Caenorhabditis elegans: one gene and its partner. The protein of the gene in region 2 purifies or fractionates together with the protein of the main gene of each other region. This does not show direct contact. Each region holds a gene or a part of one and is shown on either strand. Other genes may lie near its edges.

Region 1 (16,566 bases), on a different chromosome or scaffold from region 2:
AATCAACGAAAAACTCGGCGACATCTTCTTCCGAGCAGCTCAATGAAGTTGTGATGGGCTCCATTACTCTAAAATGCTCCACCAGGAACTTGTGAACTTGGTCCTTGTGCTCCAGGAGCCCAGTTTGGAATGTGAGCTCCGGCATTTGCAGAAAAAAGCGAATAAAAATAAAATAAAAGAAAGCAAAAGTGAAAGACTATTCCTCGAGAGCTCTGTGAGCCCTCACTTTTTCTCTGAACCTCCGAGACAACACGCGTTACATTTGCATTTTCACCACACATATTTCCCATGCTTCCAAGTATTGACATTTTCCTTTTCCTGCTTTTCTACTTCTCCCCTTCCTCACCGAAGTGTCTACTCGACGATTATGGAGCTTCTGAGAGCTCTGCTTTGCAATATTCTCAATGGAGCGCATTTGTGGCTGGTGGCCGTGGCCGCGAGCCGCGACGCAAGCACGCGCCGCTCCTGGGAATTGTTTCGAGAAGGAATATTTTCGTCGGACTATTTCTCGATTTTCATCTGGATCTTTGTGAATTTTCCAGATTTTCTTCATTAATATAATACTTCTAGACTTTCTACACATTTTAACATCAAAATCTTCGAATTTTGTCTTCTCTGCCCTCGTTTTAATCGCTCTTAATATTTCAAAATATTATACTCGTGCTTTAAAAATTAATAATTCAAATTCAGAGCAAGATGATGCGCCCACCAATTATCCTGCTCAAGGACGGAACTGAGAACAAGCAGGGAAAGGGTCAGATCATTTCCAACATCAACGCTTGTCAAGTTAGCTTCTAAAATTCTAAAATTTAGTCAAAAATGCCTAAAATGCTGTATTTTTCAGGTTGTCGCCGACAGTATCCGTACCACCTTGGGTCCACGTGGCCTCGACAAGCTCATCGTCGATAGCAAGGGAGCCACGACGATCTCCAACGATGGAGCCACAATTCTGAAGCTTTTGGATATTGTCTTCCCGGCCGCCTCCACAATGGTTGATATCGCTCGTTCTCAAGACGCTGAAGTCGGAGACGGAACCACGTCTGTCGTCGTTTTGGCCGCCGAAATTCTGAAGCAAATGAAGCCATTCATCGAGGACGGTGTCCATCCACAACTTCTCATTCGCGCCATCGGAAAAGCTTGCGAGAAGACGCTGAAGAACTTGGCTGATTTGGAAATCAAAATTAATGGCGAGACGGAGCTCCGTGAGATGCTTGTGAAGTGTGCTGCAACCACGTTGAGCAGCAAGCTCGTCAGTCAAGAACGGCTTTTCTTCGCCAATATGATTGTCGATGCTGTGAACACGTTGGATGCTCATCTTCCATTGAACATGATCGGAATCAAGAAGGTCAACGGAGGAAATTTGCACGTTAGTGAATCGAAAAGTCGTCTATCACGCGGTGTTTTGTCTTTCCACTGAAAATTGCAGATTTTTCAGCTTAAAAATGTTTTTCTCTGCATTTTACTAACAAAGCAGCTTTTTTAAACAGTGAAAATCGAATTTAAAATGACTAAAATGAACTTTTTTCGTCCACTGGTTGAGGAATGGTTAGAAATTGAAAAAATCAACGGGATTTTTCTTATTTTTTAAATATTTTTCCATTAAAAATCGATTTTAAACCATTTTGACCCTAATGTTAAGTCACAAATGGTTTAAAACCGATTTTTAATAGGACAATATTTAGAAAATATGAAAAATCCCGTTGATTTTTTTTTCAATTTAAAATCATTCCTCAACCATTGGACGAAAAATGTTCATTCTAGTCATTTTAAACTCGATTTTCACTGTTTACCAAAAGCTTTGTTAGTAAAATGCAGGAAAAACATTTGTTAAGCTGAAAAATCCGCATATTTTCAGTGGAAAGGCGAAATACCTCTATTTTAATTAATTAATATTTATTTTTAATTTAATTTTAAAAATTTCAGGAATCCCGTCTCATCAAAGGAGTTGCCTTCCAAAAAGCGTTCAGTTATGCTGGCTTCGAAATGCAGCCAAAGAAGTACTCCAATGTCAAAGTGGCTCTTCTTAACATTGAGCTGGAGCTCAAGGCAGAGAAAGAGAACGCTGAGATGCGTCTGACCAACGTTTCCGACTTCCAAGCTGTCGTTGACGCTGAGTGGAATATTCTTTACGATAAGCTTCAGAAGATTCACGATTCCGGCGCCAACGTGGTTCTCTCGAAACTTCCAATCGGAGATGTTGCTACCCAATGGTTCGCCGATCGTGACATGTTCTGTGCTGGACGAATTCCACAGGACGATCTTGATCGCTTGATGTCCGCATGCGGAGGAAGCGTTCTCACCACAGTCTCTCAAATCGACGACTCTGTCCTCGGAAAGTGCGGAAAATTCTACGAGCAACAAGTCGGAAGCGAGCGTTACAACTTCTTCGAGGACTGCTCAAAAGCTCAGGCATGTACGCTTCTTCTTCGCGGTGGAGCCGAGCAGTTCATCGCCGAGACCGAACGATCTCTTCACGACGCTATCATGATTGTTCGTCGTGCCAAGAAGAACGATTCGATCGTCGCCGGAGGAGGTGCCATCGAGATGGAGTTGAGCCGATTGATTCGTGAGCATTCGAAGGGTATTGAGGGCAAGGATCAAGCTTTCTGGATGGCTTATGGACAGGCTTTCGAGGTAGATATTGAAGAAACTGGTGCTAGTATAAATATGCAGAAATGAACGATTTTCGTGATGAGACAGTTCAAAATCTCGAAAAACTGGATTTTTTTGCTAAAATCTTTAATTTCTCCAACTTTTCCGTTTTCCAGTTGCTGGAAATTAAATTTTATTCGATTATCGATCTTTATTGCAGGTTTTTATCGTTTTTCTTCAGTTTTTTGTTGGCTTAGGCAGCCCTCAAGCTGTAAGGCTGCCTATTGACTCTAAATTTGCCTTAAACGAAGAAAAAACGACCAGAATATGCAATTTAATCGCATAAAAGTAAATTTTCAGCCGTTTTGATACGGAAAAGTTGGCAAAATATATGATTTTTGCGAAAACTGACCTTTTTTCAAGATTTTAAACAATTTCTGTTAACTTTCAGACCTATTTTGAGCTTAACTTAAAATGTGCCGAAATGAAGGAATTTTGAAAGTTCAAAATCTTGAAAACCTGGCTATTTTTAGTCAAAACCCCGAAAATTGCAGGTTTTCGTCGTTTTTCTCCCGTTTTTTAGGTTAGTTAAGGCAGATTTCAAGCTGTAAGTAATAAACCAACTAAAACATAACATTTTTTAAAGAAAAAATTCTTTGTATTTTTGAGTCGAAGAAACCAAAAAATCCATTTTTTTCACCAAAAACACCCAAAAAAAAAGCTAATTTCCGAAATTTTTCAGATCATCCCACGCCAGCTTTGCCAAAACGCCGGACTCGATGCTCTCGACGTGCTGAACAAGCTGAGACATCGTCATGCTCAAGGCGAGAAATGGGCCGGAATCGACATCCATCGTGAAGCCGTCGGAGATAATCTTGTCGCATGTGTCTGGGAGCCGAGCATCGTGAAGAGGAACGCCATCACAGCTGCCACCGAAGCCGCGTGCCTCGTTCTTTCGATCGATCAAACGGTGAAGAATGTTCGTACACCATCTGGAGGAGCAATGCCAGGACTTCCCGGGCAATAAGGAGATCAATGTGCCCCTCTGTGCATTCGCTGCTTTCTTTTGCTGTATTCAAATATTCAAATTTTGCGCAATTTTTTTTTAATTTTCTTCATAATTTTTGTTTGTTTTCTATCATTTTCATTAAACCTTTTGTTATGATCCCCCGTCTCTCTCTCTCTCTCAAACGTTCTCATCATAGCTTCTTGCAAAAAACTTTAAATTTTTTCTCAATTTTTCTTTTTCCCACCGATTTATTGTCCACCACCCGCTTGTTTTCTCTACCGCTCCCCGTCGTTTTCGTTTTGAATTTTCTGTTTGAATAAGTGCACTTTGAAAAAATTTTAATTTCAGTATTTCAAAAAAAAAGAACCATTAGAAAGAAGGTCAAACCTTACCGGAAAAAGCAGAAAAAGCGGAGAAGTTAGGTGATGGGGGTGGATACCGGCTTCAAAGTTGGGGGGTGGTGGGTGGGGATTAAGATGCATATAAAATGTCGCAAAAACACCTACTTTTACATATAAATCGGGGAGAAAAGTGAAATTTCTTGAATTTTGAGGAGTCACCACGGATTCAAGATCTATGAGAACGAGATCTCTGAAAATCGAGGCAACAATGCTCCGATTATACGCATCGCGCGCGTTGTTTAGCGTGTTGAGAATTTTTTTTTTGTCCTTTTTTTTGAAAGAAAAATTTCTGGAAAACGATAAACAACGCGCACGACAAGCGTAATATCGGAGCATCGTAAAAATGGTAGATCACAGAATCCCACAGGATCTTGACACCGTGGTGCCTCGAAAAAAGATTAAAGGAACATATAAGTGTGGGTGGCAGTGAGGGATATCGGGGGGTAATTGGTGGAGCTTTTGAGCATTACAAAATTATGAAAAAATTACGAAACAAAAAGTGGTGACAGGATGTCCCACAACGGTGGTTTGATCAACAAAAAAATGCGGGAACTTTTTTCACAGAAATTAATATTTCCTAAATTCCCGCGATTTTCGGAGATCAAAACGACATGGGACATTCTGAAACCCGAGATGAAAGAAATTAGACGCTATTCTTCAACGGCACTTGATCGTTGTGAAGAGCTCGCTCACGATCCGCCACGTTATACTGATCAGCCTTGTACTTGGCACATCGCTGGCACGTGAAGATGACGAGGAAGAGCAGGAGCAGGATGATGAGAATGATCGCAAGTGGCAGCATCCATCCGTAGGAATCTGAAAAATTGATTTTTAGGAAAAAAAAACATTTTTTTTGTGAAAAACAAGAAAAGAAAATCGAGAAATTGTCAATTTTTCAAAAAAAAAAAAATTTTTTTCTAAAATTGTTTAGCTGAAAAAAAAGTTTTTTCCAATATTTTTGCAATTTAAAATTTTTTCAAATGAAAATCGGGAAATTGTCGATTTTCAACAAAAATTTATTTAATTTTTAGGTTTTTTGAAAAAAGTTTCGAATGAATTTTTTTTGCAATTAAAAAAATTAAATTTTTCTTTAATTAAAAAACAAGAAACAAATTGAGAAATTGACAATTTTCAAAAAAATACTTTTTTTCAAATTTTTTAACTGAAATAACGAAAAATTGTTGGCTTTTCAAAATTATTTTTACTTTTTTTTTGAATTTAAATTTTTTTTTCAAATGAAAAACCATAAATCATCAATTTTCCGAAATAAAATTATTTTTTTAAAGGGTATCTGCAAATTGTGCGAAAGTTGGTTTTTGGAGGAACAGTTTTCTTATTTTCGGATTTTTTTTCAGAGTTAGTCGAAAAATCGAAAAACCAGAAAAAAAAACAGAGTATAATTTTCTTCTATCTATAAATAAGAAAACGGGACCAAAAATTGAAGCTATTGTTGAAAAAAAAATTTTTTTTTTTTCTAAAATTTTTATAGCGCCAGTGGAGAAATTGCTTTAAAACACGCCTATGGTACCACAATGGCCAAATATCACGATAAAAAAATTCAAAAAATTTTTCTAAATTTTATAAGGTTTTTTTGAAAATTGGAAAAATCTTAGTTTTCCCCCTAATTCCTATTTGAATTAACGCCAATTGGATTTGTTCGATGGAGCGCGCTTGCACGTTTTTAAATTTATTTATTTTATTTTTTGTTAATTTCCACCGATTTTCAATGTTTTTGGTGTATTTTTGCTTGAATTTTAGAGAAAAAGTCAAAATAATTGCAAATTTTCGATTAAAAAGCACGCCTGCAGGCGTAAATCTATGAAATTAATTAATTCAGGTTTGAAATCGTTTAAAAACGTTACTTTTTTTCATTTTTACGCCTGTAAGCGTGCTTTTTAATCGAAAATTTGCATTTATTTTGACTTTTTCTCTAAAATTCAAGCAAAAATACAACGAAAACATTAAAAATTGGTGGAAAATAACAATAAATAAAATAAATAAATTTAAAAACGTGCAAGCGCGCTCCACCAAACGAATCCAATTGGCGGAAATTCAAAAAAAATTAGGTGAAATTGTGATTTTTCCATTTTTCAAAAAATCATATAAAATCTAGAAATTTTTTTTGAATATTTTAACTATTATATTCGGTCATTGTGACCTCATAGGCGTGTTTTAAAGCAATTTCCCCACTGACCGTAGTCCACCTTTAAATTTAAATTTTTTCTCGAATAATTTTTTCACGGGGTTCTGGCCTTTCTCATTGAATTTTCGCGCTCCATTGGCAATCGCCTGCCGGACAACGCGTGGAAAAGTGTAGTGTACTCCACATGGACTACACAAAATCTCGCGGACTCAAAATGGCCTAGTTCGGCAAACTCTGCCATTTCGATTTATGAGGGAGGCCAGAATTCCGTGTTTTTTTTCGACGGAAAAACGATAAAAGTTTAAATATCTAAAATCGGAAAATCAATTTCTAAAACATTTTTGTCCTATTTCAAAAAAAATCCTTTTTTCTGTATTTTTCGTCCAGCAAAACATCAGAGGGCTCCATCAGTACCTCCGATTCGCAACTCCTGATCGAGTTTCACGGCGAAATGTTGCTCGGGTCCGTCGATTTGCACAGGGAACTGGTTTGTTGCCTCGCAACGGTACACACCGGCGTCCTCTTCTTGGGCTCCTTCGATGCTCAACACGCCGGCCGTGAATTTGACGCGGCCCTCAATCTCCAGCGGGAACTTGTCCTTATACCAGACAATTTGGGGCTCCGGGTAGCCGACGATGGGGCATTGGATACGGGCGGCCGAGTCGAGAGGCGCGTAGACGGCTGGGCCCTGAAAATATTTAGTTTTTTTTTTTGAAATTTTTTGCAGAAATAATTTAAATTCCCGCCCGCGTTTTGACTAATTTTATAGGTTTTTCTTGTTTTTTTTTTAATTTGAAATTTGAATTGGAACATCGCTTGGCAATTTTCCATGCATTTTTCACGAAAAAGTATGAAAAATCTATCTACTTGGAGCGAAATTTGAAAAAAAAAACCTAGAAAATTACCCGGTGGCCGAGATTTCTAGTTTCTAGGCCATTTTTTTTTTCAAAAAATCGAGAATTTTTTGAAAAATTCGTAACTTTAGAGTTTATTCTACTTTTCTATTTCATAAACACCGATTATTTCGAAAATGCGTATTGCACATTATATTTGAAGCGCAAAATATCTCGTAGCGAAAACTACAGTAATCCCTTAAATGACTATTGTAGCGCTTATGTCGATTTACGGGCTCGATTTTTCGAAATTAATTTCGTTTCGAATTGTGAATTGTCAGTTTTCCTTTATTTATATGAAAAAAACCACGGAAAACTGAATATCACCATTCGAAACGAAATTAATTTCGAAAAATCGAGCCCTTAAATCGACACAAACGCCACAGTACTCATTTAAAGGATTACAGTAGTTTTCGCTACGAGATATTTTGCGCGTCAAATATGTTGTGTACGCATTATCAGAATTTTTGTGTTTATGAAATAGAAAAGTGGAATAACCTCTAAAGTTAGGAATTTTTCAAAAATTCTTGATTTTTTGAAAAAATGGTCTAGAAAATAGAAATCTCGGCCACCGGGTAATTTTTTATGTTTTTTTTTCAAATTACGGGCAAAATAAAGTGTTCCTGTAATAACGTTAAGTCATTTTTCGATGTTTTTGGGGTAAATCGAAAAATTTTAGATTTTTCGAATTTCCAAAAATTCGATTGGTTTTTCAAAAACCGAAACATCAAAAAAAAAATTTTCGTTTTTCGATTTTTTGCAATTTTTTTAATTGGCCGTGGAGCGCGTTTCCACGTCGAAATTTGAAAAAAAGTCATTCTTCTGCGCGTCCCGTAAATCGACACAAAATACAGTAAGACTTATTGTTTGCGCGTTGCAAGACCCGAAAATTTGCATTTTCAGACTCACCACCACAGTAAACGGCTCGGATTCCGATTTTTTCAATTCCCACGTCTCATTGTTCTTCACAACTGGATGAGCTGAAAAAAAAAGATTTTAAATTAAAAAAAAAATTTTCCAGAAAAAAAAACCCACAATAAGCGAACATGTTTCCAATGATAATCGAATTGTCGGGCACCTTAATCTCACAACGATATTTTCCCGACGCGTCGGCCTTCGACTGTCCAAAATGCAAATACGCTTTATCGTCGTCAAGTCCAATGTCGGCTCGGAACTGCTTTTGATCGCGAATTCGAACGAATCGAGCCCACGTTGGCTTGTAGTGAATTGTGCCTTCGCGTACTTGACACCTGAAAAACTTGAGACGGCTATTTGGAAACTTTTTTTAAGGTGGGGTACCGAAATCTGGGAAATATTTTTAAATTACTCCAAATTTTCCCTTGATTCCGAATATCTAAGTGAAAAAATTCAAAAAAATTTCCCTGATTTTATATTTGAGCTTGAAATCGCGATTTTCATTTGCATAGCCATGAGAATTTTCAAAGACGCGCCCAAATAAATTATCCTTGGAGCGCATTTGTCCCATTCGATTTTCTCCATATTTTCACTTTTTTTCAGTTTTTCAGCTATTTTCATTCATTTTTGTCGTATTTTATGGGTTTTTTCGAAAAATATATTTTTTCGTGTCAATTGAACATTTTATTAGACCAAAAATGAATGAAAATAGCTGAAACCTGAAAGAAATGAAAATTGATGGAGAAAATCGAATGGGGCAAATGCGCTTCAAGGAGAATTTATTTGGGCGCGTATTTCAAAATTCTTATGGGTACGCAAATGAAATTCACGATTTCAAGCTCAAATATAAAACCAGGGAAATTTTTTTGAATTTTTTCAATTAGATATTCGGAATCAGGGGAAAATTTGGACTCGTTTAAAAATATTTCCCAGATTTCGGTACCCCACCTTCAAATCGAAAGAATACTTTTTTTTTGAAAAAAAAAATATTAAAATTGTTTTTTTTTATTTTTGGAAAAATCGACAAAGTTTTTTTTTCGAGAAGTTCAATTTTTTGAAAGTCGGAAAACGCGTTTTATGTGGAGAATGGCAAAAGTGTTTTTTTTTGAAAAAATAATTTTTTGGAATTACTATTTTTTATGGAAAAAAATATATTTTTCAATCGAAAATCTGGAAACGAAATATTATCGAAAAAATCCAATGCTCAGAAGTGTAAAAAAAATATCTTTTGAACTCGATAACTGCCAAATTTTCAAAATTTCGAAAATTTGTCCCTCCGTGGTACGAACCACAAAACTCCAGTCGTTTTTCGGTTCTCATCAATGTCGGTGGAGAATAGCGATTCTCCGTGAATCACTGTCTGCAGGTTTCCCATCGCAGTGTATTTTTGGCTGGTGGCAGCGTCGCTGGGCGCATCTGAAAATTTTTTAATTAAAATAATTTTTTAAAAATAATTTTCGAATTTTGTCCCAAAAAGACGGTACCCGGTCTCGACACGAAAGTTTTTTATTAAATTCAAGAAAAGGTGTGCGCCTTTAAAAAGTACTGTAATGTTAAACTTTCGTTGCTGTGGGCTTTTTTCTCGATTTTTAATAGTTTCTCGATAAAATTATATATTTTTTATCGAGAAACTATTAAAAATCGAGAAAAGAGCCCACAGCGACGAAAGTTTAACATTACAGTACTCTTTAAAGGCGCACATATTTTTGTATTTAACAATTTTTTGTCGTGTCGAGACCGGGTACCGTAGTTTTGGCGTGAAAAAGTGCGAAATTTCGCGACTGAATAATAATAAATTTTGAAAAAAAAATTTTTTGGAATTACTATTTTTATGGAAAAAAATATATTTTTTTATTCGAAAATCGGGAAACGAAATATTATCGAAAAAATCCAATGCTCATATTAAAGTCTATATATTAATATTAAAGTCTTTAAAAACCAAAATCGTAAATTTTTTCGAAATTTGAAAAAATCTCGTTTTTCAGATATTTCGACAGACCACAGAGCGGCTTTTACTACGTGGCCTAGAAAAATCAAAAACTAGGCCAATGATTTATCTGGGATTTTTGACGTGGGATGTTTCTGAAACTTGACGAGAATGTTCTCGATAGAGGGTTCTATAGTTCCACAATGGCGATTTTTGAGAAAATGTTCCGTATCCATGCTATGAAGGTGGCCGAGATTTCTTATTTTACGGCCACGTAGTAAAAACCGCTCTGTGAGACTTCGATTTTTCGAAGAAAAAAAATCCTTAAAATTTCTGTCATATTTCTTCATTTTAGAAGACATTTATATGTTTTCTTAAGTTTTTTCATCAATATAAACTTGTTTTTTTTTCGATTTTCAGGAAAATCGGAAAATTGTTCGTTTTTTCCCTGAACGAAAAAAATGATCTGGTACCGCTTTTAGGCCCAAAAATCGCAAAATTTCACGTTTGGATAATAATAAAAAGTTGCGCCTAGCTTGTATAACCGTGTGTGTGTGTGTGTGTGACTCAGTGCAAATATACAGAACGTTGTTCTTTTCTTATAGGCTTTTTTTGTGCATTGTGTCCGTCCTCTTATCATATGGCTCACCACCACAAAAAACCACCGCCGCGTGAAAAACAACAAAGTAAAAAGGCTTACACAGTGCTAATATCACTGCCAGTGTCGTGGCGGCAAGTACCGTTGTGCCACACATTCTTGATTGGCTCTTCTGTACGGTGCAGAAGACTAATGACGACGTGGATTCTGAAATAAAAATTATTTGGAAAACGGTGAAATGGTGAAGCAGTGTGAAATGGGGTTTTCATTTCAAAAAATTCAGAAGGAAAAAAAAACCGCGAGAATGAAGAAACCAAAAATTTATGGAAAATAGTCCCTAATGACCGAATATAACTATAAAAAATTCGCGTTTTTCGGCTAAATTTACAGTTTTTTCTCGATTTTTTCTTTTAAATTTGATTTAAAACATCATTTGCCAATATTCGAAACAGAAAAAAAATTTATAAAGAAATATTAAATTGCCGATTTTTTGGCTAATTTTAAAATTTCAGCCGAATTCTGTCGGGTTGTTGAAAATTGTTTCAAATATTGGCAAATGATGTTTTAAATCGAATTTAAAAGAAAAAATCGAGAAAAAACTGTAAATTGGGCCGAAAAAACGCGAATTTTTTATTATTATATATTCGGTCATTAGGGACTATATTCCATCAAATTTAGCCAGAAAACGCGAAAATATCAAAAATGACGTCACTCACTTGCGCGGGAATTCAAATTTAATTCGGTCGTTTCTTTGATTTTTGAAAAATTTAAAATATCCTTATAAGTTTAGAATTTTTTATTCTATTTTTTTACAAGTATATTCGGTCAATAGGGTCTATCAATTAAAGCAAAAAAGACGCGATTTTTTAATTTCCGCTAAATTCCCTCCAAAAAGAGAGAGAGGCAATTTTTTAGGAGAAAAAATTAGAAATATTTTTCTACAGTATGCTTAAAGGCTCACCGGCGTATTCAAAAAGAAACAGGAGAGCGCGCGGCGAGACCCATGTGCCGGAAAGTGTTGTGCGTCTTGAAGGAGTACGGTAAATTATTTTTTCGAAACACAGTTTTTCTATTATTTAATTTCAAAATAAATTTTCATTGAATTTTTTCTTTATAATTTTTAATTTTGAAAATACGTAAAAATTAAATTAAAATCGCTTTTCTTTTAATAAAAAATGAAAAATAATTCAACAAAAAAGAAATCAACAGCAATATTCTCTACTGTTTTTCTCATTTTCTGACTGCCCAAAAACTGATAATTCAGTGATAACGGAGGCTCCTCGATACTAAAAGCGCCAAAAAAAAACGGTGAAAAACGGCGTGGGGACGCAGAGAAATATCAGCGGAGAGCGGGAAGGAAAAAAAAATGGAAAAAGCATACAAACATATATATATATATATACAAAAAGCAAATAGTAACAAGACGGAGAGAAGACAGAAACTGCAAAACTGTGTAGAACTGAACTTGGTGGTTTGAAATGGGAAAAACCCCAAACATTTATTACATAAACGCAAAAATGCTGAGAATACGTTTTGCGCAACATATTTGACGCGCAAAATATCTCGTAGCGAAAACTACAGTAACTATCTAAATGACTACTGTAGCGCTTATGTCGATTTACGGGCTCGCTTTTTGAAAATATTTTTTTTCGAATTTTGACACCGATTTTCCACCGCTTTTTCGTAGTCTTTTATAATTTTTGTGCTTATTTTCAATATTTTATCCATTAATAAATGATTTTAATTGAAAAACGTCAAATATTAGCTTCATTTTGATGAGGAAACGTCTACAAACGTATTTTTAAAATTATTTCCTGTCGGGTTTCATCTGGAAAAAACCTGCAATAGACGGAAAAGAATGTAGAATAATGTTTATAAGAGTTTCCTCATCAAAATGAAGCCAATATTTGTCGTTTTTCAATTAATATCATTTATTAATGGATAAAATATTGAAAATAAGCACAAAAATCTTAAAAGAATACGAAAAAGCGGATGAAAATTGAATATCGGTGTCAAAATTCGAAAAGAAAATATTTTCAAAAAGCGATCCCGTAAATCGACACAAGTGCTACAGTAGTCATTTAAAGAATTACTGTAGTTTTGGCTACGAGATATTTTGCGCGTCACATATGTTGCGCAATACGCATTCTCAGAAGTTTGTGTTCGTGTAATAAGAAGGTAAAATAAATTCTAAAGTCAAGAAAATGTTGACCGGAAATTTTCAATTCCCACAACTTGCTGATTTGCCTATTTGCCGGAAATTTTCAATTCCGGCAATTTGCCGGTTTGCCGATTTCTCGGAGATTTAAATTCCGGCATTTGCCGATTTGCCAGAAAAATCGTTTGCCGCCCACCCCTGTTTGGGGCTATTCTGAGCTTATTCCATCAAAACCAAACCGTTTAACGGCACAAAAATGTCGACGGAAAATCGAACGAAAAAGAGCCGGCCATGCCAAAGAGCCATTTTTCGTGCGAAGAAGCAAGAGTGTGTGGAGAACATAAATTTGAACTGAAATTTGAATTTGAACTTATTGTTCATTTTTAATAAGCCGGCGGCGGGATGGAAGGAATTATTCAAGAAATGGAAGAAAAAAATCTTCCGTGGTCTTTTCTTTTTTTTCCTCAATCCGATTGACATGCGAATTTCTGGCAGAGACAAGAACAATTAGATTCGGCTAAATTGTCTTGTCTTGCTCCAAATTCCTCCCAATTTCCTTTCGAAAATCAAACGCCAGTTTTTTCTTTTATTTTTGGCGGGGTGGTGGCAGCGGCGTGTCAGAAGAGATAAAATCTCACAGAGACAGAAGACGCCTCAAGGTTTTCCATGTAACCATAACAATTTACACATTAGATCTCTCGATAAATTGTATTGTTGTACTACAACAGATACATTTCTCTTCTGATCCGTCAGAGCAGAACTGCTGAGCCTCATGCATTCTCGATGAGGGCACACAAGAGCAAAAAGAGAGCAATTTTCGACAAAAAAAGAGTTATGAAAACTCGATGATTTGCTGTTGTTGACGATGGAAGAGAAAAAAATCTTTAGAAACTATCAAGATTCTCGTAGTTTTTTTTCGAATTCTCACCGTTTTTCGATTTTTTTTTTCAAAAATCGTAAAATCGACACCCTTGCTTCGAAGTCTCCCGTAAATGATGAAAAATCAAAGAGATGAAGCACACACACACAAGCGTGATTAGCGAATCGAGGAACACCACAAAACGGTCCCTTGGGACGGGAAGATGATGCGAAAAACAAGCCAAGCCTCATGTCTGATGAGTTATTTTCTGTATAATTGTAGTAGGACGGGATATGCAGGGAAATGTTGAACGACGCGTTAAAGAAGGAGTATCCTGAATAGGGAAATTGTTTTAAAATGTAGTATTCATGCTCAAACATACGAATATAACAAAAGAAAAACGGGAAAAATCCGTTAACATTGAGCATTTTAAGTCAGAAAAATCGGCGAAAAATCTTTATAATTTGACTAGGAAAATTCTAGGCCAGGAGGATTGTCCGCATTTTAATTCTGTCGTGTATTGTATTTTTAATAAGTACTTAATACAATTCCTTCTTCTCAGTTTTCTTAAACTTTTTGAGAGAGAAAAATTATTTAAAGTTTGAAAAATAACATTTAAATCAATTTTTTGTTGAACGAATATGGCCTAGGAATCAAGTGGCGGCCTAGGATTCATTCACGCGGGAATTTGAAATTAATCCGCTTTCATCCGCTTTTGTCGATTTTAGTGGCGATTTGCTCAATGTTAACGGATTTTTCCCGTTTTTCTGTTGTTATATTCGTAAGTTTGAGCACGAATACTACATTTTAAAACAATTTCCCCATTCAGGATACTCCTTCTTTAAAGGAACACACATTACTTCTAATTGGGTCTTGCCACGCTCTCAACAATAGTGGTCGTCAGGGGTTGTCGCCGAAATTTTTTTTCGATTTTTTTTTGAGCAAAACAGAAAAATTGGAAAACCGTAAATTTTCGTTTTTGGCAAAATCGAAAAATTTTTTTGAAAGCACTTCAAAATCGGTATTTCTCATTCAGAATGTAATATTTGGATTACGGTTTACGGACAACTGCCGTTCGGCAAAACCGGCAAATTGCTGGTTTGCCGGAAATTTTCAATTCCGGCAATTAACTGGTTTGCCGGAAATTTTAATTTTTGGCAATCTACCGATTTTTCGGAAATTTTCAAGTTGGCCAATTTGCCGATTTTCCTGAAATGTTCAAGTCCGCCAATTTGCCGGAAATTTTCATTTTCAGCATTTTTCCGGTTTGCCGGAAATTTTCTAATTCGGCAATATGCCGGTTTGCCAAAAATTTTCAATTCCGGCAATTTGCCGGTTTGCAGGAAATTTTCAATTCCGCCAGTTTGCCGATTTTCCGGAAATTTTCAAGTCCACCAATTTGCCGGATTGCCAATTTGCAGGAAATTTTCTATTCCGGCATTTCGCCGGATTGCAGGAAAATTTCAATTCCGGCAATTCGCCGGTTTGCCGAAAATTTCAATTCTGACAATTTGCCGATTTGCCGGAAATTTCAAATCCGGCAATTTGCCGGTGTGTCGGAAATTAAAAAATTTTTGGTTTTTTTCCAGAAAAACCGGCAGACCTGGGGCTTTTGAAAGCTTCCAGAAAAGTGATGACTTTTTTGGAGATTCACATTCTACCACGGAGATCGTTGCGAGACCAACTCAGATAAACGGCGTGTTCCTTCAAACCGCGGTTGCAGATCTTTCAGAAAAAAAAAACTCGGCCACCAATTTTTTGATGTCACTTCAAATTCTCTAGAAATAGAGGAGTAGGAACACTTGTGAATGGAAAAAAAGGAAAAAAAATCGGTGGCCGAGTTTCTCCGTTCGCGGCCACACGACAGGCGTTCCCAGACTCCTCCGAGCAAGACTAGAAGCGAAAAACAGCAAAACTCTAATCCGGAACAAAAAAGTAGAAAAACAACATCTAGATTGAAAAACGAATAATCTCTTTCCCTGTGATTTCTTCTGATATGCCTTTTTCCCAAAACAAGGGAGTAAAAAGAGCAAATTCGGAGCCGAAAGAGAAAAGCGAGCGACGAAATCGAAACTTTGTTGCAATGTAAAAAGTGCTCCGTGACACCCCCACACACACACACATCATCTCACCCTTACTTGCCATTTTTGAGTTGTTGTGTGCATGTGTGTGTGTGTGTGCACGAAGGGAAAATCCCTGCTCACTGAGTCTCTGGCTGTCGAGCATTTTCCTGTTTTTTCCTTGTTTTTTTTTTTCGTTCTTCTTCGCCTACTTCGCGCCTATTGTAGCGAAAAACAAAGATATCATCTTTCTCTCACTCTGAAAGTGTGAGAAACAACTCAAATGGCCTTGATCTACAAAAAATGCGGGAATTTTTCTCCCAGAAAAATATGACGTCAGCACACTCGTATAGACCCAAAATGGGCTCAAATGAACGAATTTCGTAATGAAACTTCTCAAAAAAAATTTCAAAAAATTTTTATGCCGGTTCAAAATTTCGAAAAAATAACACAGATTTCAGCTAAAATCTCGAATTTTGTTCACTTTTCCGTGTCACATCTGTCTGTAGTTGACTTTTTTGGAATTATCATCCTTTATTGCATATTTTGGAGGGTTTATCTCATTCTATTTCGTTGATAAAGGTACATTTAAATCCAATAGGTAATCAATTTTTATGATTTTTGATTACCTATCGGCTTTAAATGTGCCTTAATCGACGAAATAGAATGAGATAAACCCTCCAAAATATACAATAAAGGATGATAATTCCAAAAAAAGTCAACTTCAGACAGATGTGACACGGAAAAATGGCCAAAATTCGGGATTTTAGCTAAAATCAGTGTAATTTTTTTCGAACGTTTAAACCGGCATGAAAAAATTTTTGAAATTTTTTTTTGAGAAGTTTCATTATGAAATTCGTTCATTTGAGCTCATTTTGGGTCTATACGTTCAAAATCGTTCTAGCCGTTAGTCCTCCTTACGAAATCAGATGATATCTCTGCGTCTCTTCTCCCGCATTTTTTGTAGATCTACGTAGATCAAGCCGAAATGAGACGTATGGCCTAAAAGCC
Region 2 (15,300 bases):
TTGCTTATTTTTCATTAAAAATTGATCATTTTGTAGGAGGAAAACACAATTTTCAATTTGGAAGGTTTTGAAAGAAAAAATCTGAAATATCCTTGACACGACACTTTTTGACATATTTATGGGGTACTTAAATAATAATCCTATCAACATTTGAATGTGAATCAAGTACTTCATGACATTAAACTAATGTCAGGTGAAATCAGAAATTACTGATAAAAACAATGAGTTCAAACAGTCATTTTTATTTTTTGGGTTTTGGGGAATCGGAAACTTTGCACAACTTTTTTAGTTTTTGACATATGAACAAGTTATAAATGATAAAATGTTGAACATTTTGTGTGCAATATTTTGTTAGTTTACGACTTTTTTGTAGGTCTCTTCCAAGACGAGATATAAGCGTTCAAAGTAGGCCCAGAGAGTGAGAGAGTGCGAGGAGACGCAGACGACGAGAGCACTCTCGTCGACTGCGTCTCTGCTCAGAAAACGGTCAATACATTTTTTATACATTTTTTGTACGTTTTGAATAAAAGAAAATGCATAGAAATTCAAAACTATCAGTTTTAAAGAATGTTGCAATCGTAACTAATTTAGAAAAAAACGTTTCTAATGAAAATATCATAACTTTTTTGTTTTGCAATTTATTAAAAATTTGCAAACTAAGAAAATATTCCTCCTATATTTTTACACATTTCGTTAGTTTACAACATTTTTGTATCTCTCTTCCCCGCCGAGATACAAGCGTTCAAAGTTGCGACCGTCAGTGCAGTGAGAGAGTGTGGGAGAAGGGGAGACGCAGAGAAGGAGGGCGCGCTAGCTGTCTGCGTCTCCTCTTCTCTCTACTCTCAAACTTTAAAGCTCTCTATCTCCGCAGCCAATTGAGCTATCAAGAAGATTTTAACTAATAAAATATTCAAAATTTCAAGAGGAATATTTTGGTAGTTGACAACTTTCTTATAAATATACTAATTTTTGAGTTGTCCCAGAATTTCCAAATTTTTTGTAAAAAAACACTTTCTTTACACTATTCTCATTGTCGTTTACACATAAACTTTGAAGCCCTCTATTTCTACAACCAGATGAGCTATCAAAAAGTTTTATTTTTAAAAAAATTTGAGAAAAACTTTAAAAAAGTGATAATTTTGAAATTTTATAAAACTATCTGAAAGTTTTCGGCCAAAGAAACATGGAAACAAAAAAAATCCGTTGTCGTCATGTAAACGCACCCGAAAATGGGCAGAAATTAGTTGGAAAACAATAAAAGGGGGGAAACTGATGATCAATGTAAAACGGAAACGAAGAGACGCAGAATGGGAAAGACAGGTGAGAGAGTGACGGGGTAGGAGAGAGTGGCAGAGAGACAGACAGACGAAATGTTGGAGGAAAGGACTGGTTTTGTAATTTATTAGTGTGGTGAATGGGGTGATAAGAGGGTGTGAACAAGACGCAGGTAGCGAAAGAGAGAGAGTGACGAGAGACTAAAAATTTACTGGGAATAATACAAAGAAAGTGTTTTTCACAAAAAAATTTGGCAATTCTGCAATATCTCAAAAATTATCAGATTTATAGAGCAGCAGCCAACTGCGAAAAGATTCCCCTTAAAATTTCGATCATTTCGTTAGTTGCAAACTTTTTGGTAGCTCAATTGACTGCCGAGATAGAAGGCTTTAAAGTTTGAGAGTAGAGAGGAGGAGACGCAGACAGCCAGCGTGCCCTCCTTCTCTGCGTCTCCTCTCTCCTTTGCTCTCTCGCCCTATTTGGCCATTTAACGTCAAGCCTTCATATCTCCGCGGGGAAAAAAAGATACAAAAAAGTTGTCAACTAACAAAATATGCAGAAATATGTGGTAAATATTTTACTAGTTGAAAAAAATTTGAAATTTTGAAAAATACCAAAGTTATGAGGAATTTAAGAAAAATTTCTCTTTTTATGTGGTAAAAGTCACAGAGGAGCTGTTCGGGTTGCTTAAAAATTTTGTTTTAAAAATTAAATATTTTAGGTTTATGAAAATATGTTAAATATTCAGAAAAGATGTGAAAACGTTGCAAAAAAAATTTTTTTTGGAGTTTTTTTTTGAAAATAAAATTTTTCTATCAACTTCCAGGAGTGCTATCAAATTTTTTATATTTTAGAAAATTTTCGTTGGAATAACACCAGTCTCTGCTGAGTTATGAAATCTACCAAAATTTGCACTTATTTTCGAAAAAATCCTGTAACTAGGAAATGGGCGGAGCCTAATACAATTGTTTAACTGATAAAATGTGTAAAATTTCAAGGTCTTAATTTTATTAGTTAACAACTTTTTTCTAACATTTTTAGTTTCAGAGATAAAAAAGTTTAAAATGTTTTTTAATCCAAAAAAAATTGTTTTCAAAAAAAAACACCTTTTTTTTCAAAAATTTTACTAAATTTTTTTTTTCGCTAATATTATTCAAAATGTCTTATTTTACAAATAAATAACCAAATCCAACACATTTTACAACTAAAAACCCCGTAAAAATGTGTGAAGAATGAGTAAACACGCCTCAAAACTTCTGGGAAAATGCATCGAAGAGGTTTGGGGAGTGGCGAGAGAGTATGGGTAGGCAAGAGAGTGCAGACACACACACACAGATACACAGACAGATGATCATGAACCACGTGGAATTGGATAACGGATAGCTGATAACAATTATCAGGTGATAAGAGGGGTGCTAGGGCACAAGGGGCAAGTCGCTACTCACCGAAACTCGGGTTGCTGGGGTGGAAAATTTTACCCGAATTTAGAATTTATATATTGGTTGAATAAATAAAACAGTTTTCTCCATTATGCATAAAATATCTGCAAAAAAATATTGAAAATTGAAAAAGGTAGAAGGGTTTGAAAATTGGTTCAAAATTGCGGGTACTGTACTTTAGAGGGATTTTTTAGATTTTTATTTGAAAAAAAAACATTTAGTGCAAATTTTGGTAGATTTCATAACTCAGCAGAGACTGGTGTTATTCCAACGAAAATTTTTTTAAATATAAAAAATTTGATAGCACTTCTGGAAGTTGATAGAAAAATTTTATTTTCAAAAAAAAACTCCAAAAAAATTTTTTTTGCAACGTTTTCACATCTTTTCTGAATATTTAACATATTTTCATAAACCTAAAATTTTTAATTTTTAAAACAAAATTTTTAAGCAACCCGAACAGCTCCTCTGTGACTTTTACCACTTAAAAAGGGAAATTTTTCTTAAATTCCTCATAACTTTGGTATTTTTCAAAATTTCAAATTTTTTTCAACTAGAAAAATCAGAGGCACGTGCATGACGACTGTAATTGGTAGCAATATTCTTGTTTAAACCATTGACTAGTGGAAGACCAGATGTAATCAAACAGAAGAAGTGGTTCAAAATGATTAATGATAATTCTGAAAGTTTTTAAAAATTAACTGAAATTCTGAATAATAAAATAAACTCACTCATATTTGATTGAAACAAGCCTCGAATCTGTTATCTTCTACTGAATCCTATGTGCTGTCGAATGGTAAAGAATATGGAGCAATTATTTGAAATATCGATTTATTTTCTGATGACAATTCAAATGATGTTTCGATATTTGGCAATTTACGTGAGATTGACCGTATGGGATTTTTGAAGATTTATATTTTTTGAAGCTAGTTTTTTCCGTTTTGGAATGGAAATTTTAGAAAATTTATCAGCTTCATTGTAAAATTGTTCCACTTCACCCCTCAACAATTACAGATATAAAGCTACTTCCAACCGAAAACATCTAATAAAATTCATTTTTCAAAAAAGTTCATAGTTCACTCCTCCTTGACCTCCTTGACAGACTCATCTTCAATTCCATTCGTTTCAGACTCACTTGATCTATCCTTCCGTGTCTCATCTCGTTTAACTTTTCCATCAATTTTGAACCAAGTGGTGAAGGCTTCCGTCAGGTAATTCATAATTTTTGTGATATCGTCTGGAACGGCAGTTGGGTCGTAGGCCTGAAAATTTGAGATATAGGCTGGGGAGTAGAAAGTTGTGGAAGTGTTGGCAGTGTGTCAATTGGTGCAAGCTTAAGCGACAGCGCGTGATGTGTCGGATGCAAAGTTCCAAAAAGCACAGGCTGGTTAGACCAAACCAGTAATGTGTCCGCTGCTTTTTTAACCACTGATCACTGATCAACGCCAGTTGTGGGGTGACATGGCGCGCCCGTAATGTGCCGGCCACTTTTTTTTTTAACTTCTAGTTAGTAGATCCAATCAAATGCCGGCTGCTCCTGCTTGCCAACCTACAAGGTGTCGGCTGCTCCAAGATAGAAGGAAGGCGACAGTAACTATGGGCCCGTAAAGTGTCGGTTGCAGAGACTCTTGTAGTGTCCGCTGCAAGTCTCTAACTCATAGTGTGGCCAAACTGGTTAGATGTCGGCTGCTGCCCTAAAGCCCCGGGATGTGAGTGTCGACAGTTAAAACTCATGGTATGTCCGCTGCAAGTTTCCAACCCTCAAAGTAAACCAGTTTGGTGTCGGCTGCTTGTCCTATGTGAGCTCTCGCTAGAACCCGCAAAGTGTTCACTGCAAGTTTTCAAAAGCAACCCCGCAAACTGTCTGCTGCTACTTTGCACTGGCCAGCGCCCGACAACATCCGGTCTCCGCCATTCAACCTCACCTCAAACGCATACATAAAAATCCCATAGATCGCAAATCCATACTCAATCGGCTGCATAACCGGACCTTCACAGTGAGATCTCAGAGATTTCAGAACACTTACAAATGTGGTTTTCTTGTTCAACGCGAACATTTGATAGCCAAGATCAATGTCTGAAACGGATTCAACATTTGTAGGCGCGCCTGCCTATTAAAAACCTACAGGCAAAAAATCATACTCCTCGAGATTCCATGCACAATAACCGGGGTTTTGGAACACTTCACATTCTTGATGAGCTTGAGCAAAGTTTTCGAGTTCTCGGGGACGGAGCACATTGACCAGGATTTGTAGAGGTGGTGGGTTACGGTGAACTCTTTCTCTTTTCTGAATTTTTCAAAAAAATATTTGGAAATTTAAAACCTGACTATTTAAACTTACTCGTACTGAACCACAAGTGTCCTTTCTTCCACATCCTCATCCTCTTCCATATCACAGCAACTAATCTTAAAACCTCCGATCTTTACAATCCCATCAGCACTTTCCGGGAAGTACTTGCAGAACATCCGATTCCAGTTCGCATCTTCCTCATTCACCTGTCCCAGCATGACAATATGGGTGACACGTTCCTGACGAACTGCCCACCAGAATTTGAACACTGTGGATGCTTTATCAAGGATCTTGTGTAGAGGAGATTGAGTGAGAATGAGTTGGAGGCCATTTGGACACTTGATTCGGTTGGCATGAAAGAAGTCGGATGTTAAGCGGGATCCGTGGACGTTTAGAGGTACACGGGTTGCCATGACCAGTGGAAGTTCTTCTCTTAATAAGAAATTGGAGTAAAGAAGCTTCAGAGTCGTGTGGTGTAAGGGACCATTAATTAAGACCCAGTAATTAAGACCCCCCGGCTGCTTTTAAAACCAAGTTATGTATCTACGTGACCGTGATGTGTCGGCTGATAAGACCCGTGATATGTACTCGGCAAATTTCACACTCCCGGAGTGTGTGCCAGGAACATGTCCGCTGCTGTTCAAACTTTTCCTAATGTCCCGGCTAGTGTCAGCTGCTTTAAACCCATAGTATGTTCTAGAGAACTTCGCACGGTAGATCCAAGCCAGTACAATGTCAGCTGCTGCCTGCCTACTAACAAAGACCCACGAGGTATCGGCTGCTTGCAAAACGTGCCCGTATTGTGTCGGCTGCTAAAACCCGTGATATGTCCGCTGCAACTTCCACACTTCCATAGTGTGGCCAGGACAAACCAGTAAAATGTCGGATGCTTGATCAAACTCTTCCTAATGTCCCGTGTCAGCTGCTAATTGCGTACTCCCAGAGTGTGTGCCAGCAACCCATGGTATGTCCGCTGCAAATTCCACGCTCGAAGAGCGTGTACCAGTATGGTGTCGGCCGCTTTTCTAATTTCTAGAGAACTACGCATGGTAGATCTATGCCAGTAAAATGTCAGCTGCTTCCTGCCAAACCTACGAGGTGTCGGCTGCTAGTTTTACCAATGTGCGTATCGATGCGCCCGAAATGTGTCAGCTGCTAAAACCCATGGTATGTCTGCTGCAAGTTATACACTCCCAAAGTGTGGACCTGAAAGATGCCGACTGCTTCATTTAAATTTTCATAGAGGCCCCGTGAAGTGTCGGCTGCTAATCTCCCATGGTATTTCTCGTTAGAGCCCCGGAAGGTGTCGGATGCAAGTCTACAAAATCTAAACCGTAAAATGTCGGCTGCCCAGATCTGCACTAACTGGCGCACGCCTTGCAAAGAATATTTCCCATTACCTCTGCTCCAATGAGTGCTTCTTCACGTAATCTGTCATTCCGACGCTCTTGATCTTCTCCGAATCCTTGGCCAACAGTTTCGTGACATATTCCTTCAAAACCTCCGTCGGGCTCTTGCTCGTCAGCTTCTCATCCTTCTCAAACTTTCTGACCTTATTGTAGAAGCCTACGATCATATTCTTTACAAAATCAAGTGGAATTTCTTCTGAAATTTTCTAGTTTTAATTAATAGTTGAGAGAAACTCACGTTTAAAACGCTGGGCTTCCACATCTTGTGGGGAATACGGAATACCTTTCATCATCACTGGATATTCGACTGGCTTCTTCTCCTTATCCTCGTCAGGGTCGCAGAGGGAGAGTAGGATTGCAAAAAGAATGAATGCAATAAGCAGGTAGATCAATCCCAGTACAACATAGGACCAGGGGTAGAATCTGGAAAACAATTAAAATTGAAATTCTGAAATTTCCAAAAAAGTGCAAAAACACAATTTGCCGAAAATTGTCGGCAGTTGCCTTTTTTTCCGGCAAATCGATAATTTGCCGGTTTGCCGAATTGCCGATTTGCCGGAAAATTTTATAGGTTTAAACTTAGGATTAGGCTTATGCTTAGGCTTAGGCTCGGACTTGGGCTCAGGCTTAGGCTTATGCTCTCCTTAGTGAGAGTTAGGTTTAGCCTTGGCGTCAGTGGCGAGCGTTAGCTTTAGGCTTGGGTTTATAGCGTGTTTTTCATTTTTCAAAGGTTAGGCTCAGGCTTAGGCTTAGGCTCGGACTTAGGCTCAGGCTTAGGCTTGGGCTTATCTACTAACCTCACAAAGACATCGGGCCCTTCAGCTCCCTTATGCTTCCGTTTCCTCCAGATCCTTGTAGTCTGGCCCTCCTCGCTTGTTGTCTCTGGTCGCATCGTTGTCGTCTGTTCCTGTGAAACGGGCAAGCTTTTCAATTTTTGAAGGTCAAATGTGATCCCTGACACTTTTGCGGCTGCTTCGAAAAGTTTATAGAATTCTGATAGTTTTTCGGAGTAATGGAATCTCACACTGTTTTCAAATGCTCCAAGATCCTTGAACATTTTTGGCAACTGATCTTCCAAAGCTTTAAGCTCTTCGGTTGATTTTCCATAGCTCTTCACCGAAGCTAACAACTCGTCAAAAGCATCCCTCTCACCCATAACATTCATCATAGATACAATTCCACGTGTCGCTTTCCCAATAACCATTAAATGTTCAGAAATATCACCAAAATCCGATAGATCATATCGCACAAAGACTTTGAAATTTTCAGTGTTGTTGATAAACTCTTGAAGGTTCCTCAAGTTCTCTTGGATTTTTGGTAAGTGCTCTGCCAGTTTTTCCTTGCTCAGATTTGTGCTTTGAAAGTACTTAAGAGCAGTGATAATTGGCTTGATATACTTGAACTCTTTGGTTTCTCTTAAAGCTTTCATGGCGTCGATGAGTTTTTTGAAATCCGATAGAAAAGTATCAAAATTTTTGAAAAAATAAGGAGCCATTTCAATCATGTCACCTATGATGCCGAACTTCAGAGTATCTCTAAGTTTGACAATCATGGAGTTAATTTCTTCAAAATCCAATGAATTCCGCACTTGATCCAAGTCATTTTTCTTTAAAAGCTCCACCATCCTTGCCAACTTATTCTCATTCATCTTAAGTTCATTTGATACTTTCAAGTATTCATCGTGAAATTTGCATAGGAAAGACAACAGCTCAACAGCATATAAATTGATTGTAATGGCGTCGTAATAAACAGTTGTGAAAACATCAAGTTTATTGAAGATATGAGTTTCTTGAATATTTTCCGTAAGAGGAGTTACAAACTTTGATGAAAGAACCATATTTGTCATATTTAATTTGAATATATCACTGACTGCATTATCACTAGATTCATTTAATAATTGAGTTCTCCAATGTAAAACTTATTTAAACCTTTTATAAAATTCAAGCCCTCATCTTTGACTACAGGATGAATAGATTCTTCCGTCAAATCATCATGAATTTTTATTAAATCAATATATCCATTGATTAATCCGACAATATGGGTTGAATATTTGAAATTATCATGTGTCTGCCCAAAAATATTATTCAAATTTTCCGCAACCTCCTTGAAAAGCTTCAAGTTTGCAATAAGTTCTACAATTGCCGGCTCATTTTTAGACGCATTATAGAAAGGTATTGAGGCATACTCTTCAGTTACTTCAACTGATTTTTTTAGAATTGGGAAAAATTTCAAACCGTTTTCAATTTCAGGTCTTTTTGGAAGACCTTCATACATAGACAAATTGAAGGTTGACAATTTTTCGATATCCAAAGCAGTTTCATTTACATTTATCCAGTTATCATGCCCTGCATGAAGAAGTTCCACAAAGTCTGCGAATCCGAACAGAGTCCGAATAAACATGCCCAGTTGGGTCCAGTCAACACCAGAGCTTTCTAAATCTTTCAATTCTTTACGATATCCTTCCAAGCTGTGTAATGTAGCATTCAACCACTCTGCTTTCTCCGCAACAGATACCAGCTTCAACAACCGATCCGCCATAGTAAAATCACTTGCCTTTTGTATTTTATTGATTTTTTCAATGACATTAGTCAGCGAGTCCATTTTGATATCCAAGATTTGAGAAGGCGCAATATCTCCAAAGTTAACAAGCTCCGATATAAGTTGATCAGATGGAATAGTTCCGGAATGCAGACCGTTTTGAAGATAAATTCCATTTGTAATTCGGGATATTGCAATCATTTGTTGGACATATGGATATAGTCTAGCTGAAATTGGTTCAGGTTATTTGTTATATTTTCTGTATTGTTGTCTATTTTTGTTGCATGCAACTAATAGAGGAGATATCGGTTTGTTTTGCACTGAAAAGTCTTGCAACAAAAGGTTTTTTTTTCCAACTTTGCTAGAGCAACTAAGTGTACCTTATCACTGCAGTTATAAATATTGTGCCTCCCCTGACAACGTTGTCACTATCAGAGGTGGGCGGATATTTTTTCGGATATTTTCTAATAATGAATTTATCAATAAGTTTTGATGTAGTTATTCTGGAAGAAATGTATCCAAACCAAAGAGTAACTATTAAGCAACATTTTAATATGATAAAACCTAGAAAAATTCTACAAGTTTTCCTTACCGAGACCTTAAAACTTATTAGCCGAGCAACATCGGATATCGGATAATAGACTTGCATATCGTTTATACAGAAAACTTGTAGAATTTTTCTAGGTTTTATCATATTAAAATGTTGCTTAATAGTTACTCTTTTGTTCGAATACATTTCTTCCAGAATAACTACATCAATACTTATTGATAAATTCATTAATGTTTGTTCATAATAGCACTATCGTAGATTCAACGTGACGCTACTGTAATCCTACAGTTCCAAAACTTAAATGTCTTCATTTTATGCACCTTGGAACTACTTGATCTTTTGTAGCCTTACTGCACAACTACTGTAGTTTAACCGAGATGCACTGAGACATTATGTGAGTTTATGAGGGTTTTTTGTGTTTTTGAGTGAGTTTATGAGAGTTTAGTTGTGAGTTTATGAGACATTTTGAGACATTATGAGACATTATGTACACATTACTTGTTAACAACCTCCACCAGTGTCGGCTGCTCGGCTTACTTACAATCTTTAGCTCGTGGTGATAAGCGGTCATGACTCTCGTTGGCTCCCACAATACCAATAAATATCAGAATATATCCAATTGATTTATAAATAGCTGCTGAAAATAAATATAATCCTGCAAACTTCGAAAAAAAAAACTCACCCATTGCGAAATAGTTATAAACTTGAGCAATGAGGCATTTGCAAATTTGATGAGCAAAATCGAGCACGTAAATTTGAAATTTTTAAATTTTTAAATGTCACGTTTCATTCTTGGCAAGCAGGGGTGGGCGGCAAACAAATTTTTCCGGCAAATCGGCATTTGCCGGAATTGAAAATATTCGGCAAAACGATAAATCGGCAATTTTCCGATTTGCCGGAACTTTTCGGCAAATTGTGGTTTTGCACTTTTTTTTTTTTTGGAAGTTTCAGAATTTCAATTTTAAATGGCAAAATTGAACGCATCCTATAAAGTTTCCAACGTCTATTTTTAAACATAAGCATATTCTATGAAGATATGTAGAAAAAACGGGAAAAATTCAAAAATGCGCAGTTTTAAGTGTTTTCCGTCTTATAAAAAAACCCTTTAAATGTTCCCGGCAAATCGGAAAACCGGTAATTTGCCAATTTGCCGAACGGCAATTGCCGCCCACGCCTGCTATAAAGTAACAGTTCACGAGGAAATAATAGAAGCTTTCGAAGTTTTCAAAGATATAAAAATTATAAAAATTATATAAATCATAATAATTGCAAAACATTATTAAAACTATTGACCAGGGGTGTGCGGCAAATCTCAAAATTTGCCGAGCTCGGCAAATTCGGCAAATTTGCCGTGCTTAACAAACTCGGAAAAATTTGATATTTTTTATGTTTTTTGGAGCACCAAAACTACTGAATTCTTAACACACATCTGGTTTCTGAATAAGTTCCGCGTAGTATGTCTGTTTAAGCATCAAAATAGCTCAATTTTGTGTCATTTTACTAATTTTTTGGCTAAAAAATCAATAGTTTTAGTCAAAATTGTACTGTCAAATTTTTGACGTGTGCGGCAAATTTCGAAATTTGCCGAGCTCGGCAAATTCGGCAAATCTACTTTTTTGAAATTTGCCGTGCTCGGCAAACGGCAAATTCGGCAAATTCGGCAAATTTGCCGAGCTCGGCAAACGGCAAATTCGCCGAGCTCGGCAAACGGCAAATTCGGCAAATTCGGCAAATTTGCCGCACACCCCTGCTATTGGCATTATAACAATTGGTAAACTGAATTGGCAAAAAATAAGTTTGTCCGTCGCTATACACAATTGTCGACCCGAGTGCACACGGTTCGTGTTTATTACAGCTAGCTGGCTAGGTGCACACAGACACACCGACAATATCGATTCATCTCACAGCCATACGCAAGAATAACTCAAGAATAACTAAATGTGCTTTTTTTCTCTGTTAGATGTATATTCACGTCATTTTCGTTTTTTTTTTCAACCTTAATGCCTTTCAAACTATTCAACCAGGGGTAGGGGCAATAAATGATTTTTTTCCGGCAAATCGGCAAATTGCCGGAATTTAAAACTTCCAAAAACCGGCAATTCGGCCAACAGGTAAACTGTCGATTTGCCGACAATTTTTGGCAAATTGAGAAAAAATTTGCCCGATTGAACGATTTGGAAAGTTTTCAGCAAAAATTAGTTTTAGTTCAACTCTCAAACTTTTTCACAATTTTTTCCCTTTTTCTGTCCCTTTCGGCCCTGTTTATGGGATTTTTAACCCAACTTCGGAATTTCCCATGTTTCCAGATTTTTTGTCCTTTTTTCCTTCTTTTTTTTCTGGGTTTTTAGGAATTTGCTGGGAGTTTCTCTTTTTCTCTTTATTCTCACCTCACCCCTGCCCGAAACTTCTCGAAAAAGTTCTGAAAACATTGGACATTTTTTTAATAACTTGAAAATAGTTCCGCCAATTTTTGAAACCGTTTTGGAACTATTAAAATTTCGTGGAAGTTCTGGAATTTGTCCTGAAAAATTCTGGAAATTTTAAAAAATACTTTGGCAAAGATTTCGAATTTTCTGTAAATTTTCTGGAATTTTTCGGAATCTCTCAAAAATTGAACAAATTTTTGAAACTTTTGAAATTTGAATTTTGTAAAATTCAATAAAGTGGTCTAACATAATCCAAGGCTATTGTAAAAACGTTTTGAGAATGATCAATCTTTATTTGCATTACAGGATACTATATGTTTTAGGGTACAATAGGAACATGGGTTTTGCAGATCAAAGCTTTTTGCACGAACTTTTAAAAAATCACACGAGAAGCCCAACTTACAACGTTGGACCGAAATCGCACCGGCCTGCATTCCAAAAACCTCACGACGGCTTCTCGGTAGGGCGTGATGAAGTAGATTTGAACAATAGGGTCAAAAAGGCAGGAACCTGTGCCATTTAGGGTGATAAGGAATTGACGGCCTGAAATAAAGAATTTGACGGCCTGAAAATCAGCAAACTTCCCTTACCAGAAATTTGAATCGCTAGAAACAAGAAAACCATTGGCACATATGTGAGCAATGGAAGGTAAATTTGAAAGTTCAATCCCCGAATCAACTTCCGAAACATGTCCCTAGTAGTCTCCGATGTATTCGGAGACATGTGAGGCGTCAGAAGCTTCATCGCCTGATACTTCCAGTAACTACCAATTATTGGGAAGTACGACATAGCAATAAGTGTAACAATCGCCGACCTGTCAAGGAAGACTTTTTGAGCCTGACTGTACCCTCCGAAATTCAGATAGGGAGTATAATCTAGATCCGGGTGAAGGGTCCGAGTTTCATTGTGAACTGCCAGATGGTCCGGGGAAGGGATGAACTTTATGGCCTGTAAAATTTCTATGCCTTAAAAAAAAGGCTATCAATGCTTACCAAATACACCAGGGGAACTAGGTAATGCCAGAAAAATAGGAGGTTCCTCCGTTTGATCATCTTCGGGTCGAAGGATTTAAGGCATATGGTGCGGTAGTAGAGCGTGTGGAGATTGATCAAACCCATGGTTATTCCACAAGTCTGTAATTTTTCCAATTGATTCTCGAAGTTTCTTCTTATTGCCAGCCCCTTCAATTAAGAAAGATTTTGAAGCACAGGCCGTTTTCTGGCACTTAGAATGGGTACTGCAAGCTGGAAAGCCTGTTGTGAAGCTAGCAGTGCTTTTGCGGAGCACATAAAAATCTCTGCCATTTGGTGGGACTAATGTGACTTCACAAGTTTATTTTGAGTCTAATGGAGGTCTTGAAGTTTAGGCAATCAATAAATTTTTCAGAAAAATCGATTTTTTTTTTGAAATTTCAGACAAAAAATTGATAAAATTGCGTATTTTTTTGGAATTTATGGGAAATTTGGAAAAATTATAGATTTTCAGCATATTTTTCGATTGTTTTGACTAAAAATGCGGATTTCCAGAGAAAATAAAAAAAATTTTTTCGAAAATCTGAGCTTTTTGAGTACAAAAAATAGAAAAAACCAAAAAAACATTTTTTTCAAAAAATACGGAAAATTTTTAGGAAACCCCGATTTTTTTTTTCAAAAAAAAATTTATCGATTTGTTCCACTAAAATTGTCGATTTTTTTCAGTTTTTTGAGGAAATTTGGAAACTTTTCTCATTTTCCTGAATATTCAGACATTTTCGGTCAAAATTCCAAATTTTTCGATTTTTCGGCAAAAAAAATTGACCAAAATTCAATTTTTCCAATTTTTTGGCTAATAAATTGGTTAAAAGCCAAAATTTCCGATTGCTTCTAAACCGCTTATAAAATGTTCTAAAAAGCTGTAAAAATTCTCTAAAAATTCTTAACAAACTCAAATAAAATGCTAAAAAAGCTCTAAGATTGCCTTAAAATGCTATAAAAATGCTTTAAAAATGCTCAATAAATGACCACTTAACGCTCTAAAAATGCTCTAAAAATTCTCCGAAAATGCTTAGTAAATGTTTAAAAACTGCTCTAAAAGTGCTCTAAAAATTTTTTTTTTGCTCAGAAAATTTTCTAAAATTCTTAATAAATACTCAATAAATGATCAATAAATACTCTAAAGACACTCTAAGAATGCTCTGTAATTGCTCAAAAATGCTATGAAAATTCTATAAATATTCTTAATAAATGCTCTAAAAAGGCTCAATAAATGTTCTGACAAGCTCTAAAAAAAGCTTTAAAATGCCATAAAAATAGCTCATAAAATGCTCTGAACATGCTCTAAAAAGCTATAAAAATTCCCTGAAAATTCCTAGTAAATGCTAAATAAATGTTTTTAAAATTCTTTGAAATGCTCAATAAATGATCTAAAAATGCTCTAAAAATGCTCTAAAAATGCTCTAAAATGCTCAATAACTGCTCAGAAAATTCTCTAAAAAGCTCTAAAAAATCTTAAAAATGTCATAAAAATAGCTCAATAAATGCTTTAAAATGCTTAATAAATGCTCTAAACATGCTCTAAAGACACTCTAAGAATGCTTTGTAATTGCTCAAAAATGCTTTAAAAATGCGAAAAAAATTCAATGGATGATCTAAAAATGCTCTAAAAATGCTCGGTGGCTACCACGTGTCGATAGGAAGCTCATGGAGCATTTGCCGGCAGAAATTCCAGCCTATCAAGCTACTCACACTCCAAAGACTATAGCAAGTCGCACAAAACGTCGGCCCAATATATTTATAAAATCCATCACAAAGCAGACCCATTGAATGCTCATTATCGATATTCCTAAATTATTCATCTCAGGTAAAATTAAATTATCTTAAAGGTGGAGTACCGAAATTTAAGACTTTGCTTTTTTGGACCCAAAATGGTCTAAAACTAACAAATTTCGTAATGAGACGCTCAAAAAAAATTTTCAAAAAAAAGTTATGACAGCTCAAAGTTTTTGGAAAAAAATTGTCCATTTTTAGCTAAAATCTCAAATTTTGGCAGCTTTCCGGTAACTTTGAGCGGCCATAATTTTTTTTTTGAAAAATTTCCAGAACGTCTTATTTTGAAATTTGGTAGTTTTGGACCATTTTAGGTCTAAGGTACTCCACATTTCCCCAACCTGGTCTGTGTGGCAAACGCCAAAACAACCGAAATCAGAGTCGCTGTATTCGACGCGTAAAGAAAAAATCTCATAGTTTTCAAAATACTTGTGGTGAACTTGTAGATTAGAATGTACAAGGTGATGAATAGGCATAGGCAGGTTAGGGAGAACATTGGCCAGTAAAAGCGGAAGAAGTATTGAAGGAAATCCATTTGGAAATTGAGAAAAATGGAGATGTCTAGATATTC

The links.
Region 1: the proteins of Y22D7AR.7 (region 2) and zig-11 fractionate together in Caenorhabditis elegans (co-fractionation; one large-scale study listed by BioGRID). This does not show direct contact.

Annotation. Positions count from the first base shown.
Region 1 is NC_003283.11:1,871,556-1,888,121, forward strand, and holds zig-11 (Ig-like domain-containing protein), read right to left. Parts: upstream 10,686-16,566; 5' UTR 10,636-10,685; coding exon 10,581-10,635; intron 9,370-10,580; coding exon 9,243-9,369; intron 8,289-9,242; coding exon 8,074-8,288; intron 8,019-8,073; coding exon 7,948-8,018; intron 6,834-7,947; coding exon 6,560-6,833; intron 4,819-6,559; coding exon 4,646-4,818; 3' UTR 3,931-4,645; downstream 1-3,930. Other genes in the region: T10B5.4 (aralkylamine N-acetyltransferase), read right to left, coding at 1-145; cct-7 (T-complex protein 1 subunit eta), read left to right, coding at 697-786, 845-1,366, 1,924-2,634, 3,335-3,619.
Region 2 is NC_003281.10:1,679,843-1,695,142, forward strand, and holds Y22D7AR.7 (Tyrosine-protein phosphatase domain-containing protein), read right to left. Parts: upstream 8,258-15,300; coding exon 7,209-8,257; intron 7,200-7,208; exon of another isoform or gene 7,148-7,199; intron 6,835-7,147; coding exon 6,650-6,834; intron 6,608-6,649; coding exon 6,403-6,607; intron 5,435-6,402; coding exon 5,054-5,434; intron 5,000-5,053; coding exon 4,854-4,999; intron 4,789-4,853; coding exon 4,637-4,788; intron 3,974-4,636; coding exon 3,788-3,973; downstream 1-3,787. Other genes in the region: Y22D7AR.14 (uncharacterized protein), read right to left, coding at 8,302-9,176, 10,041-10,136, 10,182-10,185; srd-64 (Serpentine Receptor, class D (Delta)), read right to left, coding at 12,299-12,468, 12,516-12,873, 12,918-13,058, 14,649-14,745, 15,071-15,264.